Linked DNA regions of Macaca mulatta. The main gene of each other region encodes a partner of the protein of the gene in region 2 in a complex. Links are inferred from orthologs where the notes say so. Each region holds a gene or a part of one and is shown on either strand. Other genes may lie near its edges.

What was found.
Region 1: the proteins of FGF23 (region 2) and FGFR3 are in contact, whole or in part, in a cryo-EM structure (PDB 7YSU), measured with the Homo sapiens proteins. The link is inferred for Macaca mulatta from reciprocal best matches to the Homo sapiens genes FGF23 and FGFR3. Residues at the interface, in NP_065689.1 of Homo sapiens: Ser29, Leu32, Gly33, Ser34, Trp36, Tyr43, Ala45, Ala47, Arg48, Asn49, Ser50, His52, Ile75, Arg76, Ser77, Glu78, Asp79, Ala80, Gly81, Val83, Val84, His117, Gln118, Thr119, Asn122, Gly123, Tyr124, Asp125, Leu158, Ser159; in NP_000133.1 of Homo sapiens: Glu157, Arg158, Asp160, Lys161, Leu163, Leu164, Ala165, Val166, Pro167, Arg223, Asp244, Leu246, Glu247, Arg248, Ser249, Pro250, Val277, Tyr278, Ser279, Asp280, Ala281, Gln282, Pro283, His284, Ala312, Gly313, Ala314, Thr316, Thr317, Asp318.
Region 3: the proteins of FGF23 (region 2) and FGFR1 are in contact, whole or in part, in a cryo-EM structure (PDB 7YSH), measured with the Homo sapiens proteins. The link is inferred for Macaca mulatta from reciprocal best matches to the Homo sapiens genes FGF23 and FGFR1. Residues at the interface, in NP_065689.1 of Homo sapiens: Leu31, Leu32, Gly33, Ser34, Trp36, Gly37, Tyr43, Ala45, Thr46, Ala47, Arg48, Asn49, Ser50, His52, His66, Ile75, Arg76, Ser77, Glu78, Asp79, Ala80, Gly81, Val83, Val84, Tyr93, Phe108, His117, Gln118, Thr119, Asn122; in NP_075598.2 of Homo sapiens: Glu159, Lys160, Glu162, Lys163, Lys164, Leu165, His166, Ala167, Val168, Pro169, Lys172, Gln244, Asp246, Val248, Glu249, Arg250, Ser251, Pro252, Val279, Tyr280, Ser281, Asp282, Pro283, Gln284, Pro285, His286, Ile287, Ala314, Gly315, Val316.
Region 4: the proteins of FGF23 (region 2) and FGFR4 are in contact, whole or in part, in a cryo-EM structure (PDB 7YSW), measured with the Homo sapiens proteins. The link is inferred for Macaca mulatta from reciprocal best matches to the Homo sapiens genes FGF23 and FGFR4. Residues at the interface, in NP_065689.1 of Homo sapiens: Leu32, Gly33, Ser35, Trp36, Gly37, Tyr43, Ala45, Thr46, Ala47, Arg48, Asn49, Ser50, Ile75, Arg76, Ser77, Glu78, Asp79, Ala80, Gly81, Val83, Val84, Tyr93, His117, Gln118, Thr119, Asn122, Gly123, Tyr124, Asp125, Leu158; in NP_001341913.1 of Homo sapiens: Glu156, Lys157, Lys158, Leu159, His160, Ala161, Val162, Pro163, Asn166, Asp240, Leu242, Glu243, Arg244, Ser245, Pro246, Lys272, Val273, Tyr274, Ser275, Asp276, Ala277, Gln278, Pro279, His280, Ala308, Asp309, Ile310, Ser312, Gly336, Asn337.

What each region holds. Positions count from the first base shown.
Region 1 is NC_133410.1:1,909,885-1,914,317, reverse strand, and holds the start of FGFR3 (fibroblast growth factor receptor 3), read right to left. Parts: upstream 2,912-4,433; 5' UTR 2,691-2,911; intron 2,321-2,690; 5' UTR 2,219-2,320; coding exon 2,110-2,218; intron 1-2,109.
Region 2 is NC_133416.1:5,266,219-5,270,799, reverse strand, and holds the start of FGF23 (fibroblast growth factor 23 precursor), read left to right. Parts: upstream 1-1,722; 5' UTR 1,723-1,790; coding exon 1,791-2,001; intron 2,002-4,581. UniProt on the Homo sapiens protein: Regulator of phosphate homeostasis. Inhibits renal tubular phosphate transport by reducing SLC34A1 levels. Up-regulates EGR1 expression in the presence of KL. Acts directly on the parathyroid to decrease PTH secretion. Regulator of vitamin-D metabolism.
Region 3 is NC_133413.1:40,368,590-40,372,595, forward strand, and holds part of FGFR1 (fibroblast growth factor receptor 1 precursor), read right to left. Parts: intron 3,411-4,006; coding exon 3,327-3,410; coding exon of another isoform or gene 3,321-3,326; intron 3,070-3,320; coding exon 2,897-3,069; intron 1,229-2,896; coding exon 1,105-1,228; intron 1-1,104. UniProt on the Homo sapiens protein: Tyrosine-protein kinase that acts as a cell-surface receptor for fibroblast growth factors and plays an essential role in the regulation of embryonic development, cell proliferation, differentiation and migration.
Region 4 is NC_133411.1:186,050,366-186,055,074, reverse strand, and holds the start of FGFR4 (fibroblast growth factor receptor 4), read right to left. Parts: upstream 3,193-4,709; 5' UTR 3,008-3,192; intron 2,666-3,007; exon of another isoform or gene 2,080-2,665; intron 834-2,079; 5' UTR 781-833; coding exon 690-780; intron 8-689; coding exon 1-7. UniProt on the Homo sapiens protein: Tyrosine-protein kinase that acts as a cell-surface receptor for fibroblast growth factors and plays a role in the regulation of cell proliferation, differentiation and migration, and in regulation of lipid metabolism, bile acid biosynthesis, glucose uptake, vitamin D metabolism and phosphate homeostasis.

The DNA.
Region 1 (4,433 bases), on a different chromosome or scaffold from region 2:
CCCCTTACCCCACCAAAGGTGGCTCCACTCCCAGCTCATTCACTCCTCAGTCACTCAGGTGAGGGCTGCCTGCCTCCCTAGATGGGGTGACTTTGGACCCCCCTCCTCCAGGAGACCCCCAAGCCCCTGGACTCCCACCCAAGCTCAGCTGTAACAAGGGGTGCCCCATTCCCAGTTCCAGCTCCAAGTACCTGAGAGCTGGGGGGCTGGGGGGTGAGTAACGAGGGGTTCCTAGGCTCACACAAGGACCTGGAGGCCACGCTCAGCCCAGGTTAATGAACCACCCAGAGGCCCACGCGGCTCAAAGTCCAGCCCGGCAGAGGAGGGGTGGGGGAGGATTCAGTCAGCACCTTCAGGAAAGACCCTGCACCCCGAGACCCCTGCTGGGGGGTGTGGCGCTGTGGGAGAGCCGACCTTGTCTTCCTCCCTGCACCCTGGGGGGTCCCCCTAGGCTCCAACCAGGAACACAGCCCTCTGGGGAGATGGCGGCTGTCCTGGCAGGGCCTGGGGTGGCCAGGGCAGTCCAGGGGCCAAAACCTTCCCCACCGCCCTTGACCACTGCCAGCCAAGGCTCCATAATTTATGTTCCCAGGCAAGCGCCAGCCTAGACCTCAGTCCATTTCACGAGGTCTTTGTATTTTTACTGCCCGGCCCATCTTGTTAAGGAACCGGATTAAATTTATTGACCGATCAACTCACTACCTGTTTCACCAGCTCCAGTGCGGGCGGGGTCGCCGCCCCAAGGCGGGGGGCGGGGCGTTCCAGGGGCGAGAAGGGGAGGCCCCGCGCGCCCGCCGGGGATCCGGGAGACGCTCTGTAGCCTGGCCGCCGCCCCTCCCCGGGGCTGGCTGACATTCCCGGGCCGTAGGGAGTAATATCTTTATCTGAATGAGAATACGAAAGCCAGGCTCCCCCCGCGGCCGCCCCTCCCGCACCCCTGGAAGCGGGGCCGCCCGAGCAGGCGCTAAAAGCGCGCGCTGACCTCCCGACGGCCCCTGTCACGCCGCTGAATGACACGCACATTCAAGCGCCGGGCCACTTTCATTCATAAAAAAAATGACATTGTTCCGGGAGGCTGCAGCCGCCGCCGGAGAAAGGGGCGCGGGGGCGCGGGCGGGGCGGCCGCCATCTGCCTCGGCCCTCCCGGCGCCCTCCCCGGCCCGCCGCGCCCGCAGCCGCTCACACCTCCCCGCGAGCCGCCGCGCCGCCATCAATGCGCGGTCTGTGGCCGCGCCGAGGTACAAAGGAGCGGCTGTTCGGGCCTGGGCCCGGGTGGGGCGCGAACTCACCGGGCCAGGGCCTCCCTCCGCGCGGCCGCCGGGCTGGGCTGTGCGCGCCCCCTTCGCCCGCCCGGAGCCGGCAGCGTGTACGGGGCGGCGGCACCGGAGCTCTCGGCCCGACCCGCGAGGAACCGCGGCGCGCGTGCAGGGCGGGCCGGGCGCCCCTTCCCCTCACCTCCCTTCAGACACTTGACGTCCCGCAGGACCTGGACCGCCAGCCCGGTCTAGGGCCCGCGACGCTGGGACACGCGCTCCTCGCTCGCCTGGAGCTCGGCGCGCACCCACGGGGAAGCGCCCTCAGCCCCCAGGCACTGGCAGGGTCGGCAGCGGGGGCGCTGGAGGCTGCAGCCTCGTCCGGCGGGCAGGGGCCGGGCTTCGCTGACGCGCACACCCACCCTCAGAAGTCCGGCCTCTCCCCTTGGCCGAAGCTCGCCACAAACTGGGGCCCGGGGGAGGGGGACGCCAACAATGGGAACTTTCCGTCTGCGCAGAACCCGAAGAACAGCGGGAATCGTGGAAATGGGGAAACCCGCGCCCTCCCGACAGGCCAGGGCTGGGGAGCCGCAGGGGACGGGGCTGCGGACGCCAACCCCCGGCCTGGCTCCCAGTGGCGGCCTCGCATTTGGGGGGTACCTGCGGCTCCAGGCGCCCCACAAGTCGCCGCGCTACCGCTGGCCGCGCTCTCCGGGACGGAGACAGCGGAATCCGGGCGCTGACCCCGGGGCGTCACTCACACCCGGAGTTCCCTCCGACCTGGGGCCGGTTCCCGTCCCCAACGCCTCTGCCCGCACGGGCCGGCCCCTCCCGTGCCCAGTGGGTCCCTTCTTACCTGCCACTCGCCCCACGACGCGCTGCTCCGTCCCCAAGGACTCCGAGGAGGCGCCGGCCACGATGGCCACTGCCACGCAGAGCGCGAGGGCGCAGGCAGGGGCGCCCATGGCGGGGGCGGGGGCCGCGGCGTCCTCAGGCGGCGCACGCGGGCATGCTGCCCCCCACGGCCCGGCGCGGGCACCGGCGGGAGGCGGGCGCCGCTTGGGAAACTGCGGGAGGAGGAGGGCAGCTCGTTAGCGGCGCGGGTAGGGACGAAAGCGGCGGTGGCCGGCTCCTGCGCCCCGACCCCTCCGACCCCCAGCCGCCCCGCCCGCCGCCGCCGCCGCCCAGAGCTCCCGGGCCGCCTGGCGCCGGCCGCCTCCTCCCCGCCGCGGTTCCTCCCTCCTCCCCCTTCCCTCCCTGGCTGCTGCAGAGCCCTCCCAGGGCGGCGGCGGCGGCGGCAAACTTTCCGGAGCGGGAAGCCCGCGCCCCGGCCCGGCCCGCCGCAGGGACTGCTGTGGTTCCGCGACTGCCGCGCCCCGGCCCCTCCGCGCGCACCGTTGGACCCCTCCGCGCGCCTGCCCGGACCCAAGCACCGACCTGGCGGGCGCCGGAGTCCGGCTCGCTAGGCGCGGCTCCCGCTCCGGCTCGCTGTCCGCAGGCCCAGCTCCCGCCCCGTCCCTCCGGCCGGCGGCCCGCCGGTGCGTCCGTGCGACCGGCAGAGCAGGACCGCGCGGCGCCAGCTGCTCGCGACGCCGCCACCGCCGCCGCCGCCGCCACCGCGCACTGAGCCTGGGTTGCCCCGCGCGCCGCAGCCAGTGGGGGACGGTCCGCGCCCCGCCCCGGCCCCGCCCCGCTCCCGCCCGGCCCCCGCCCGACTCGCCGGGGCGCAAGGCACGCCCCCTCGGGGCGGAGCGGGGCATCCGAGGGGGCGTGGCCGGGCGGGGGCGCCCGGCGGTCTCGAGGGCGTGGGAGCCGGGGCAGGCGGGCGAGGCCCCCAATCGCACCGCGGGGCGGCCCGGTGGGCGGTGGGCACGGGGCGCACCGAGGGCGAGCGCAGGCTTCCGTTTGCACAGCGCGCAGCTCGGGTCCCCTGAGGCTGTGCTCAGGAGCTCAGAGGGGAGGTCTCGGCGGGGGTCGGGATGTCAGGAGGCGTCGCCAAGATGCCGCGGAGCTGAACCCTGTGGTGTGAGCGGGAATTCCTCAGGTGGAGGAGGGCAGGGCGGCATTCCAGGCCGAGCCTCCGGTGTGCGCCGCAGGCCTGGGGCAGCCCGGTGCGGCCTGCGTACCTGACTGGCAAGGAGCAGAGGCTGCGTTGACTAACCTGGGGCCGAGCCGCATGCACCTAAGCCGCCTGAGTGCCCAGCCCCGAGAGGTCCCTACCCCTGCCCCCCAGGAGGACACAGGCCTGGGACTGGCTGCCTGCCCGGCCTAGAATGAAGGGCAGGGGCTGGAGACCCCTGGCTTGGGGAGCGCAGCCCGGCTCTGAGGGAGAATAACGAAGAGCTGGTGGCAGAGCCTGAGCTGGCCCGAGGTTCTAGGCTCCACGGGGCGGGCTCAGAGTCCAGCTGAGGAGGGTTGGGACTGGTGAGGTGGGTTCCCAGGAGGGGAAGATACTGCCCTGCGGGGGACGCTGCGGGTGTCTGGGTCCCCTTACCCCACATGACTGTTAGCTTCTGTGTCCACCCTCACAAGGAAAAGGCCAACTGCTCCCATCTTCAGGCAAAGCCCAAGGGGGTCCGGAGCCCATGGGAGCCAGTGAGCTGGGGGGAGGGCCGGCCGAGTCTGCTGCCCGCCTGGCTTGTGGCTTCCAGGACTAAATGTAGTCATCAGGAAAATGGGCGCTAAAAGTCCCTCAGTGACTGGCTGTTTGCTGACCCTACCCAGCCCATGCACAGCTCAACCCTGCAGCTCCCAGAGGCCAGGGTGTCCCTGGACTGACCTCAGGGCCTTGGAAGGGCTCTGCTCCCAGGGAGCCCTCATGCCCACCTCTCTGTGCCCACTTGGTGGCTCAGCACTTGTCCTCGGCCACCCTTGTTTCCTGCTCTGGCCAAGTCCATGTCCCCAGACCATCTTGGGGCCCAGCCTCACTAACCTCCAAGTGCACTGTCCAGCCCCCTCCAGAGCACAGCCCCAGGCCACTGCCAGTCAGGCCCCTCCCAGGACACCGCTCCCCAGGGCACAGCAGCACACTGGCCCTGCTCTTTTTTTTTTTTTTTTTTTTTTTGAGAGGGAGTCTCACTCTCTCATCCGCACTGGAGTGCAGTGGCACAATCTCAGCTCGAACAATCTCCACCTCCCTGATTGAAGTGATTCTCTTGTCTCAGCCTTCCGAGTAGCTAG
Region 2 (4,581 bases):
TGCTTAAGAGGTCTTGGGTCCAGACCTGGATTCAAATCCAACCTCTTCCACATGTTACCTTTCTATCTCTAGGCAAGTTACTTAAACCGTGTGCATCGGTTTCCTGATCTATATAAAGAAAATAAGAGCATCTCCTCAAAGAGTTATTCTGAGGATGAAATGGGTGACCACAAGTAAAGTGCTTAGAGCAGTAAGTGGAACAGTAAGCTCTCCATGAGTGTTAGTTGTTGCTGTGATTCGTTGGAGAAGCAGCCTGGGGAAGGAGAAAATCCTGTCCTGGCTCTACAATTTATTTGCTTTGTGCCTTTGACATGGAAAAACTGAGATCTCAATTTCTCCATGTAAAGTATTAAAATCTTGATAATGCATGGTGTGCCCCTCTCACAGAGTGGCAGTGAGGTTCAAATGAGCTAATAGATGTGAAAATGCTTTGTAAACTATTAAAAAAAACTGCACAAATGTAGGGTAACAGATGCCATTTCTTTCTGTCTATACCTGTATGCTTGCACTCATTTTGTATTACGGTTACTTATTTTTATCTGCCTCCTGCAGTAGATTTGAGCTCCTCGAGATAGGAATCACATCTTGCTGTCTCCTATATCAACTTGTACGTGATGTCTAGCTTGATGCCTGTACATGGCATGTACTCAGTACATGGGAAATTGGAAGAGGAGCAGTCTCCTTGGGTATTTTTTCGGGTGTATGTTGCAGTAGCTTGCTCCCCTTTAGACTGTGCGTGCCAGGACTATTTCCCCCAACATGAGGTGTAGCTTCCCAGAGGGCGCACTGTGAACAGCATCTGCAGGCAGGCATCCAGCACCAAGCTGAGCACTCATGTACAGACACTAAATGTGGGGACACCCTGTCCTGAGGCTCGGATTCCCGGTGCTCAGCCAGCAGCCTTTCCAATCCCCATGAGGTCTCTGAACGGGTCTCCTTACTCCTGGAGAGACTATTCATTTAGTTGTCCTCGATAGTCCAAACTAGGGAAACTGAGAAATTGAAACTTGGCATGTTCAGCGAAGTCCAAACTAAGGACGCTGAGAAATCGAACCTTGGCATGTTCAGGGACCTCAAGACCTTGCTTCTTTTTCTTCCATTTCAAAATCTTCCCAAAATGGCAACTTTGGTTTTTGTGCCCCTGCTCCCAGCTCCCATCTTTCACGAATTGGGGGTTCTCAGAGGATGCCATCTGCCTGACGGTGTCATGTATCTCTATATCCTACAAGCTAGCCACCGAATCCTGCTCATAGATTAAGCACTGGATACATACTTGCTGATTGGAATTTAAAGAAAACCAAAATAAGTAAACTCGACGGGAGATTAATTGCCTGGGAGTCGGTTGACTGCTTGACTGAAGCTGGATTTTTTTTGGGAACCGCTGGCTGCCTTCGCATTTCCTGATGGACGTGGGACAGGTCAACAGACAGCCCAGAGCGGCAGATAACTTTTGCCCACGCGTCATTCATTTTTTTGGAGCGTTGGCTTGAAATTGAGGGGGGTGTGTGTGTCTGGAACCGACGTGCCTTCCGTGCGCCTCCGGGGTCTCTGCACTCTCTTTCAATGGGCTGATTACAACACAGAGGATGTGGACAGCGGAGTTTTTCCTGTTTGATGTCACACTGCTACCCTTTAAAAGTCTGATGGCAAAAAGGAGGGAATTCAGTCTAGGATCCTCACACCAGCTACTTGCAAGGGAGAAGGAAAAGGCCAGTGAGGCCTGGGCCAGGAGAGTCCCGACAGGAGTGTCAGGTTTCAATCTCAGCACCAGCCACTCAGAGCAGGGCGTGATGTTGGGGGCCCGCCTCAGGCTCTGGGTCTGTGCCTTGTGCAGCGTCTGCAGCATGAGCGTCATCAGAGCCTATCCCAATGCCTCCCCATTGCTCGGCTCCAGCTGGGGTGGCCTGATCCACCTGTACACAGCCACAGCCAGGAACAGCTACCACCTGCAGATCCACAAGAATGGCCACGTGGATGGCGCACCCCATCAGACCATCTACAGTGAGTAGGACTTCAAGCTGGGAAGAAGGGGTGCGCCCCTGTTGTCCATCTACAGGGGGCTTGGGGAGGTTGGGGACTAGACTGGAGGGCTAATCCAACCCTCCAAGCTTTCTGCCCAGGAACCACTTATTGTCTGTGTGTGTGTGTGTGTGTGTGTGTATTTAAATCTTAGGGGAAGATTCTGTCACTCTCCTAATTAGTATTTGCTGGTTTTTCTAACATGCATACTTTTTGTTTAAACTAAAACCCTTCCCACAGTAGGAGCCATATTCCCTTTGCCCCATCAAAAGATTCAGAAAATATACTGAAAGAAAAGCAAGGAGTCTAAGAGAAAAAGAAGCCAGGCAGATCAACAGACACTAAGTTTCAGCTCCTGGACTTCAGGCTGGGTTAACTAGGCAGGTTGGAAAGAAGATTCCCAGGTCATACCCAGATTGTAATAGATAAATCTGGGGGCTCTTTCCAATTCTGGCCTTATAAAAATTCTTGGAAAAATGTATTAAACACAGACTGTCCAGGAATGTTGTCTTGGTGAGAATGGCCAAGTATACAACCCATCCACCCATTCATTTGTCCATGCATCCATCCATCCAACCTTTAAACTTTAACAGGTTTAAAGGCTGTTTCAGATACTCAGGTACCCCGGTACCCAGTACGCATTGGTGATTCTTCTCCGTGGAACTGAAAGGTGTCCAGTCAGTAGCAAATCAAGCTAGTTAGAAACTTATTGGCAATGTGAGACAACTGGAATGTTTTTAAAGATCAGGTTTGTGGAGAATCGGATCACAATCCACAATAATCAATCCATTAGCAATGATTCAAATGAGGGCCACTTTGTGCGCACCTATATAAGGGGTAATGTGGTGGGAGCAGGGATATTGAAAAAGACTGGATCTTCTATTTTAAGAAAACATGTGAATACCTCTAAGAATATATAAAAATGCAAAGTGATCCAATATAGCTCAAATTAAGGGAAAGAAAAATTAGTTAGACAATCTCTAACTAAAGAAAACATAGGAATTATGATTTGCCTTTTATTGTTGTAATAAGTTAATTATTTTTGCTGTGACCTTGCTGTGTGTGAGGCATTTATTCTTCTAGGAACCAAAGGTCCTTAAACCTGGTTGCAAGATATATAACATGCAAAATTAAGTTGCAAGATATATGACATGCGAAATTGACAGTTTAAACCTCCTCAAGTGCTAGATGCATATTGATAGGAGATAAAAGGAGAGAGAAAAGTTCTCTCCAAATACCAAACAGGTTCCAGAACTCTAGAGGATATACTAAGACTCAGGAGTCAACATCTTGGAAACCAAGTGTGAGTCTCGTGGCAAAAATTTCAATTAAATCTGGATATACTTGATGAACCCCAAGTGTTGTTCATTTTATTCAATGGATATTTAACAGGATCTACAATGTGCCTGGCATTCTATCAAGCTCTGTGACTGAAAAGTAAGACACAACCCCTCAAGGACCTTGTGGTCTGTCGTCCTGCCTTGTCAGCTAGCTCACTACCAGACTTTAGGAAACGCGACTTTGCGCCTCTCATGGAGTGGCCACTCTTACTCTAATTCAAGACTCTATGTGATTTAAAATGCAGAATAGTAGATGATGGTAAATTGTTTTGATTCTCTTAGATGGAAAGGGCGGCATCCAACTAGAGAATGTTTACACAACTTGTCTCGAATCCTGGAATCCCATTGCTGAAAGGAACTCCTTAAAGACGTTTCCTCCTGAACAAGAATTAGGGTAGAACGGAACAGGCTGGCTACGGTGGGGAGTGAGTGTGAAGAGTCGACCTCCTGGGCTGGCATTCTGAACTGTAGACCTTTTCCTTGAAAACCCACCTCGTATCAGGCCCCAAGGGATCACTGAGTGCTAGCTGAATTAAAAGGATTGAGAGGCAGCAAAACAAATGGAACTGACTTCAGATCTTTAAAAACAGAAATACGGTTTTGTTTTCTTAGACACAGGCACTAGCTAAACATTGCATCTTTAAAGAGTTAAACACGAATATGGGGAGGGGAACTTAGGGTCAGGGGAGTGGGAGAAAGATCTGCTTTTCCTAGTCTATGTAGATAACTTTTTGTACTGTTCAATCAGTTGTCACGTGTATTATGGGGGGGAAAAAGTGCAGGAAAAAAATTACACAATACAATTAAAAGTTACCCAAAAGAGGCCAGGTGTGGTGGCTCATGCATATAATCCCAGCACCTTGGGAGGCCAAGGCAAGAGAATCACTTGAAGTCAGGGGTTAAAGACCAGCCTGGCCAACATGGGGAAACCCTGTGTCTACTAAAAATACAAAAATTAGCTGGGCGTGGTGGTGCGCGCCTGTAATCCCAGCTACTTGGGAGGCTGAGGCAGGAGAGTTGCTTGAACCCAGGAGGCGGAGGTTGCAGTGAGCTGAGATCACACCACTGTGCTCCAGCCTGGGCGACAGAGCGAGACTCCGTCTCAAAAAAAAAAAAAAAAAGTTACGTAAAAAGAAAGAGGAAAGATTAATGCACGTAGATAAGAATCACAACTAATTAAATGTCTGGTGAAGGATTTGTAATGACCTCATCAGTGACTGTT
Region 3 (4,006 bases), on a different chromosome or scaffold from region 2:
GTAAAACCAGAGTCACTTAGACTCCTGCTGTTCACAGCGTGATCCGCCAGCAGTGCTACCAGCATCCTTTAGGAGCTTGTTAGAAATGCGGGATCTCAGACCTTACCCCAACCTCCTGGATCAGAATCTCCTTTTTACTTTTTTTAGAGGCAGGGTCTCACTTTGTCACCCATGCTGGAGCACAAGGGTGTCTTCATAGCTCACTGCAGCTTGGAACTCCTGGGCTCAAGTGATCATCCCACCTCAGTAGCCTCAGTTACTCAGTTGGGACTACAAGTACATGCCACTGCACTAGGCTAATTTTTAAATTTTTTTATAGAGACAGGATCTCACTGTGTTGCCCAGGCTGGTCTCAAACTCCTGGCCTCAAGCAATCCTCCTGCCTTGGCTTCCTAAAGTCATGGGATCACAGGCATGAATAATCCCATTACGCCACCTGGAGCTCATAAGCCACTGCGCCTGGCCACAATCTCCTTTTTAGACCATATTATCACAAGAAGAACACTGACTGAGAGACTCTGTACCCAATGATCTCTAGGGAGTGATTTTCAGAACTCCTAGAAGGAAAACGCTGTGGTAATCGCTCCAAGAGGCTCAACATTCTTCCTAGAGTCTCCTGTGATGCCCTGAAGTTGGCACAGGTGTACAGTTCTGCATCAGCAAGGTATCTCACCTCTCTGAGCCTCACTGCCTGGGCTCCTGTGCAGAGCTAGACTAATACCACCTACCTTGCAGGTGTGCCACAAGCATTACAGAGCAGGTATTTAAGGAGCCTGGCACATTGCTGGCATTAAGCGACAGCTCCTGTTGTGCTGCATTTAACACCTCTCCAACAGCATCTCCTTCAGGACAGACTCTGAAACCACCTTCCATTTCACAGTGACAACCAGCTTTGACATGTGTTACTGTCTGATCTTAACTCTATTTTACAGATAAGAAAAGTGAGACTCAAAAGGGAGAAGTGACCTGCTCAAGGTGACAAAGCCAAGAAGTGCCAACCGCTATCCTGACTCTGCCCCTAAGAAACCTGGACACCCCGGCTGTGTTCTCCAAGCTCAGCTCTTCCCACTAAATGCATTCCTCCTGCCGCCTCTGTCCTCTTACCCACGACATCCAGCTGGTAGGTGTGGTTGATGCTGCCATACTCATTCTCCACAATGCAGGTGTAGTTGCCCTTGTCAGAGGGCACCACGGAGTCCATTATGATGCTCCAGGTGGCATAACGGACCTGAGGGGAAATGCCGAAGGGATACTTTCAGAGTCTGAAGGAAAATACAGGCAGAAGCCCCATGACAATGTTGGCACCCCGTGGCACCTGCCCTCCATATCAGAGTCTGGTGGCACAGGGCTCCAGGCTGCAGGGTTGGCTAGGACAAGGCGTGGGTTGCCCCCACTACCAGCCCGTTCACACTCTGCAAGGTGGTAGATGGGGTGTAAAGACTCTGGAAGTCTCCACTGTGACGTTCAAGGTCATTCGTGATCTGGACAGATGTGCCTTCTGCAAACACTTCCAAATACACCAGGAATGTTCCCAACTGTGCACCTCCCCTATTATACTAAGAATCCAGCCCCTGTTGCCCTTGACAGCTCATTTCAAAAACCATCTCCTCCAGTCCACTCTCTGGTCAGAACCGTGCTCACCCTTTCCTCTGCCTACCAGGGCACTGATCACAGTCTGCTTTTTACGGTAGCCACTCATGGACATTTGACTCTGATGAGACTGGAAAATTTTTATGGGCAGGAACACTGTCTTGTAGCATTTAAAGCATGGTGTCTTGCATGTAGTGAGTGCATGGTGAATTAATTTAAAATGTTTCTGGCTGGGTGCGGTGGCTCATGCCTGTAATCCTAGCACTTTGGGAGGCCCAAGAGGACAGATCACTTGAGGTCAGAAGTTCAAGACCAGCCTGACCAACATGGGGAAACCCCGTCTCTACTAAAAATACAAAAATCAGCCGGGCATGGTGGCCTGCACATATAATCCCAGATACTCGGGAGGCTGAGGCAGGAGAATGGCATGAACCCGGGAGGCGGAGCTTGCAATGAGCCAAGATGGCATCATTGCACTCCAGCCTGGGCGACAGAGCAAGACTCCGTCTATAAATAAATAAATAATGCTTACACCCTTTAAGTTGTTAATTTCACTTGTAACAATCTGTCCTAAGGAAGCACACTTAAAAATGCTGACAAGAGATTCACTGCAACATTATTTATTATGGTGAAAAACCAGAAAATACCTAATATCACAAAATAGTTCATTAAATTATGGGACTTTTTTGTTGTTTTTTGGAGACAGAGTCTCGCTCTGTCACCCAGGCTGGAGTGAAGTGACATGATCTCAGCTCACTGCAACCTCTGCCTCCCGGGTTCAAGCAATTCTCCTGCCTCAGCCTCCCGAGTACCTGGAATTACAGGAGCCTGCCACCACGCATGGCTAATTTTTTGTATTTTTAGTAGAGAGGTTTCACCATGTTGCCCAGGCTGGTCTCGAACTCCTGAGCTCAAGCAATCTGCTCACCTTGGCTTCTCAGAGTGACAGGATTACAGGTGTGAGCCACTGTGCCCAGCCAAATTATGGGATTTAAAAATAATGGAATCTTATATGTTTCAAACATTCATGCTTGAAATATATCATGAAAACACTCATGTTAACAAATGACAAGGCAAGGAAATTATTATACATGACGTGATCAACTATGTAAAAACCATATTACACAGAAAGAAGACTGAAGAAATTTTTAAACTTTATTTGCATTTTTTTGCATTTAAAAATTTTAATACATAACCTGTATAGGTAGAAAGTATTACTTAAAACAATGAAAAGCGTGTAATCAGGACTTCCTAGCTCGGCCTCCCCTGTTCCCGTTACTCAACTTTAGCATGCACACACACGTACCTTGTAGCCTCCAATCCTGTGGTCAGGTTTGAATTCTTTGCCATTTTTCAACCAGCGCAGTGTGGGGTTTGGGGTCCCACTGGAAGGGCATTTGAACTTCACTGTCTTGGCAGCTGGCACCGCATGCAATTTCTTTTCCATCTTTTCTGGGGATGTCCAATATGGAGCTACGGCTGCCCGGGGAAAGCCGAGAGAGAGAGGCAGGGTGGGGAGGAGCAGCTGGTCAGGCTCAGGAGCAGGGCCCAGGCCAGGACCTGGGGGTGCCCTGCCCATCTGCCCAACACCTGTGAGCAGTGCCTGGCACTTAGCAGAACAGGCATCGTGACCCCATGTGCCCTCTCCTCCTCCCCTTTCAGCCTTCCCCTCCCCTCTTAAACCCAACGCCCAGACCCAAAGGGCAGTAAGATAGGAAACAGTGTCTCACGCATACGGTTTGGTTTGGTGTTATCTGTCTCTTTCTCCTCTGAAGAGGAGTCATCATCATCATCATCATCCTCTGAGGAGGGGAGAGCATCTATGGGAAGAAGAAGGGGCACTGAGGTTCCTCCTAGGGACCCCTAGATTTCGCCAAGGCTAGTGCAGTTCCAGATGAACACAAACACCCTCCCCACGGGGATACCAGTCCCACTTCTCCCTTAGTGACGATCTCTTGGTGGGATGGAAACTGTTTAAGAACAGTTCCTGTGCGTGTTTCCTTCCTTCCCCAAAGCACTGCTCCCACTGCCTGGAAGCCTTCACACTGGGTGGTTCCATCAGGGTCAGCTGTTCCTCTTTAACTTAATTCCGTCCTACATTCAAAGGCTCTCTCTCAACTTGTGGTACCACCTGGGTGTGCTGGTGCCAGGCAGCGTGTATTCTTCTTTGGACGGCTGACTACAGGGAAACCCAGGCAGGTCTAGACACATTGTAGCTAGATGCTATTTCCAAACGATGGGCTAAACACTCCACAGTCAGAATTTTTCTAGCATGTGTCCACTAAGGTTTGGGGGCTGCCCTCCCTAACCAGAGCAGATAGGGCACCCAACACCCCGGCAGCTGCCAACACCTCTCCCCAGTAAGTATTTATTTCTTGTAAGAACAGGCTTGACACACATGTTATCTCACCCATCA
Region 4 (4,709 bases), on a different chromosome or scaffold from region 2:
CAGGGCTCTGTGGGCAGAGGGCAGAGGTCAGCAGACCCCGCAGCCCCATCTGAGGCAGCCTCCTGCGTACAGAGAACACGCCACACATGCAGGGCACAAGCACCTCGCGACGCATGCTGGAGGAGCCACCGCTCCTTGACACCCGCACAGCCACATGCTGCGGATGCCACACCCAGGGCAAATGCCACACTCTTGGGGCATGTCACGCACACAGCATTTAGTGCACATGACACTGGCCAAGACACACACACACACACACACATGGACACACACACACACGGCACATGCTATTGGTGCCATATACAGGGTCATGCTGCACTGGGGCATATCACCCTCATAATGCATACACCACACATGCTGCCTGGACCTCCTAGGTCACACATCCAGTGCACAGAACACACACACACACGCGCGCGCGCACACACCCAGGCAAGGAGCTCACCACCAGCTCTGCGGCCCAGCTTAGGGCCCTGCACCCTGCGAGGCCAGTCCTCTCTCGCAGACACAGAGATACATGGATGCTTGCTGGAAGCCAGGCACTGACTGAGTCTCAGTGGTTGAGCCCTGCCCTGCTGCCACTTTCTCAGGGCCTGGGCAAGGATCCTTTCCAGCTTTGCTCAGCCCAGCAGCCCCCTCCTGGTGCCCACTCTTCCCACCCCTGCCACCCTCTCCCCCCTCAGAAGCCATACCCAGCTCCACTTCCTCCGAGGCCTCCAGGGACAAGACTGGAGGCCCAGGCACACTCAGCAGGACCCCCAAGAGGGCCGACAGCAGCCGCATCTCCTTCCCGCAGCTCTCAGGGGCCCAGGCTGGACTTCCCACCAACTGCCTTCCTAGAATAGGGGGGGAAAAGAGCTCCTGCTCCACATGCACCTTTGCGGGGGCTTTCCCTTATTTTGCAGATGAGGAAATGGAGACAGGAAGTGGCCAGTAGATGTGTCCAAGTCCCTGGCCAGGCTGTGGCAGTGCAGACTGGAACCAGCTCTGCTGTAGCCAGAGCCTGATGCCTTCCTACAGTAGGTTGTGCAAGGGGTCTGGGCTGGGCTTCCTGCTCTCCTTGAGTCCTGCTGGGACCCTGGCACACGTTCACAGAAAGCAGTTTTGGGATTCTTTTCTTGGAGGGAAGCAGAGAACGGAGACTATCTTCTGCATGCTCTTGGCACACGTAATTTATTTTTTGCTGAATAAATGAATTGATTGCCGAAGAGCCAAAAAACAAAGTGAAAAATGATACAAGGCCAAACTTCAGCATCTGGATGTTATCTGATCCAATCCCCACTCCTTATAGCATTACTGACATTTCCAGAGCTGGGCGCCCACCACTGACAAGGCAGCTCCTTCCGTAGCAAGCAGGACCGCATCCCTGAATACCTCTGCTTGTCATGCACCAACTCCATCCGAGGTACACACGGTTTTGTAAAGAATACAGACCGTAATTATCCATCCACCAGAGCCAAGTTCAAATCCCGACTCTCATCAACTTGTAATTCCTTGTCTCTGTCTCTCTCTGGGTTACTATCCTCATAGGACTGTTTTGAGGATAGAAGAGACAACGTGCATCGGCACTGGGCACACAGAGTGTTGGAATGTTCTTCTCCCTGTGCCCGGCCCTAGAACTGTTCACCTGTTGCCCTGGGTCTGCCCTCAGCCAGTCACCTCTGGTTCGGGTGCTGTTACTGTCAGGCTGTGATGTACACACACCCCAGCTGGCTATCCTCTTCCAAATGCTACCAAGGACACCTCTGTTCCCCAAAACAGAACACTCAGAACCGAGTCTCAGCTGGGACAAAGGAATACTGTGATCACTGCAGTCCTAGGGGCCTATGGGTGGCACTGGTGTCTCTGGATCTACCCTGTGTGGGAAGCCTATCACACCTCCTTACCCTTGCTCACTGCCACTCCACTTCCAGTCCATCTGGCTTCCCCTGCCCTGACTCAGGGCAGGTCATGGCCATCTCTTGCATGGGCCTTTGGAAACATCCTCTCCCTGGGCTCTTCAACCTTCATCTTCCAGCAGAGTTTTAAAAAACTACAAGTCTGCCATGTCATGCCCCCAGCTTGCAAGCCCTTAATGGTTACCTGTGCCCAGCAGGATTCAGCTCAGCATCCTAGGGCTCCCTCTGTTCCGCTGCCTATCTCTTTGGTCACACCGTCTGTCCCTTCAGGAGCGCTGAAGCCATTGGCTCTCAAAACTGGTCACATATGCTCTCTTGCCCATCCCTCTGTGCCCCCCATTCCTCTTCTCTATTTGACTCAGATACTGCTGTCTCTGAGGCCACTTCAACTCTCAAATCCAGTTGGATCCCCCTTGGTAAAACCCCCTACCAAGCTCGGCTTGGCAGGGAGGGCAGCTCTTTGAGTACACAGCTTGGGCTGGGAGTGGCTGGGGAGGCCCGGGGATTTTATTCCTACCCCAGGCTGCCCTGATATCAGAGTCCGTGGAAAAGTCACCCGTGGCTGCTGACCGCTGACCGACCACCCCACACGTGGGAACAGAGGGCCTGCCTTAGGCATCAGACAGCCTCCCGCACTCGCGGTGGAGGCCCCCGGGCGCTAAGTGACTGAAACTTTCGGGGCCTCAGCTCCCTCATCTCTGCCGCCGGCGCGAAGACAGCCGCAGGGACAAGCTTGTCCTCCCCCACCCTTGCCGGGCCAGCCTGGGGGGAGGTGCGAATCAATGGGTCCCGAGGGTAGCTGCACAGGGCCGGCCTGCCCCCGCCTCGGTGGGCAATGAGTAACCAGCTCCGCGGCCAGGGTGCTCTTTGGACGGAGCGGGACAAAAGGCCCTGTGTGCACTGCGGGTTACTGATTTACCGCCCCCTCCACCCCCTGCCGCCCGGCGGACGCCCAGGTCCCCTGCGCCGGGAGGGGCAGTCCCTGCAGCCCCGCCGCCGCTCGCCCCCTGGCGGCTGGGAGCGCAGCCCGGGCCCGCAAGGGTTCCGGCTCACCTCGAGCCTGCGTGACTCCGCGCCCTGCACAGGGTCCTGGTCGCCTGCCTCCTACTCACCTGGCTCCTCTGCCGCCTCACTCCCAGCTCCAGCCGGCCGCGACCCGTGCACCCGGCGGGGTCCGCAGACAGCCCAAGCGCTCCTCAGCCGGGAGCAAGGAATGTACCCGCGACGGCGGCGTGGCCGCGGGCGGCCCACCTCCTGCCCCGCCCCTCGGGCCCGCCCCTCCTGCTCGGGCCCGCCCGCCTCCTGCCACGCCCCCTCGGGCCCACCCCTCCTGGCCCAGCTCGAGCCGGAGAGAGGTGTGGCCGGCGGGGGAGGTGGCCAAGAGCCCCGCCCACCTGGAGACCCGCCGCCGACCCAGTCAGCCCACTCCAGGGACCCCGCCCCAGCCTATACACACACCCCTACACACACCCCCTATACACACCCCATTCAGGCTCCTCCTCTTTCGCCCCACCCAGGCTCCAGGCCAGGCTTCTAAGTTCTAGTCCACTACCCAGCTCTACTGCTTGCTTTTCACCCCTCAGGGAATGCCTGGCTCCCCTGTCTTCTGCGCAGTACCGTGCAGTGGATAGGAGAACCCCTTCCTTCGGCTCCCTCATTTGTTCTCTGCGCAACCTGGGGAGTGATACTTACAACACAAATCTGACTGTGTCAGCCACTCCCTTAAATTTTCCTATAGCTTCCCATAGCTCTTTATACATAGATTATTGCCATGACCCACGCCTCCTGGCTCCCTGCTACTCCTGGGCAGTTTCAGGTACCATTCCCTCTTCCTGGAATGCCCTTTGGTCTGGTTAATTTTATATTATTCTCAGCTCACTTCCTCCAGGAAGCCCTCCGGACTTGCAAGCTCCTCTTAGATGACTTCTCTGTTGTGAGGATGGAGAAAGAAGCAGAGTGAAGTGGTTCAGAGCACAGACTACAGGGCTGGACGTCATAGGCCCAGCTCTCAGCACCATCACACAAGGCCTCGGTCTTCACTGTCTTTTCAGTGAAACAGGCAAATGATAGTCTCACCCTCAAGAGGTTGTTGCAAAAAGTAGACATGTGGCTGGGCGCGGTGGCTCAAGCCTGTAATCCCAGCACTTTGGGAGGCCAAGACGGGCGGATCACGAGGTCAGGAGATCGAGACCATCCTGGCTAACCCGGTGAAACCCCGTCTCTACTAAAAAATACAAAAAACTAGCCGGGCGAGGTGGCGGGCGCCTGTGGTCCCAGCTACTCGGGAGGCTGAGGCAGGAGAATGGCGTGAACCCGGGAGGCGGAGCTTGCAGTGAGCCGAGATCGGCCACTGCACTCCAGCCTGGGCGACAGAGCGAGACTCCATCTCAAAAAAACAAAAAGTAGACATGTTAGCAGTATATGTAAGCCTGGCATGCAGCGCTTGCTTTGTAATACTAGTGAAAGGACACAAAGATAGATGTGTACCCGCCCCCCACCCGCTACACCCTTGTTCTGCTCTCTAATCTTTGCACATACCAGAGATTTCGTAAGTTCTGTGAGTACCTGGTTTTCTGCACGTACCAGAGATTTTGTTTTGCACATACCAGAGGTTTTGTAAGTTCTGAGGCAAGGTCACAAGACGTGTTTAAGTAAGATAAACTCTTGCTGCCATAAACCTGCTCTCCCGCCTCAAAGTTTGAACCAAAATATCAGAAATGGCGGGAACCAATCATAGTTAGCCAAATCGCCTTGTTCAAACACTAGCCAATCATATATCTGATTTGTATAATAACTCTATGCCCACTTTTCTTA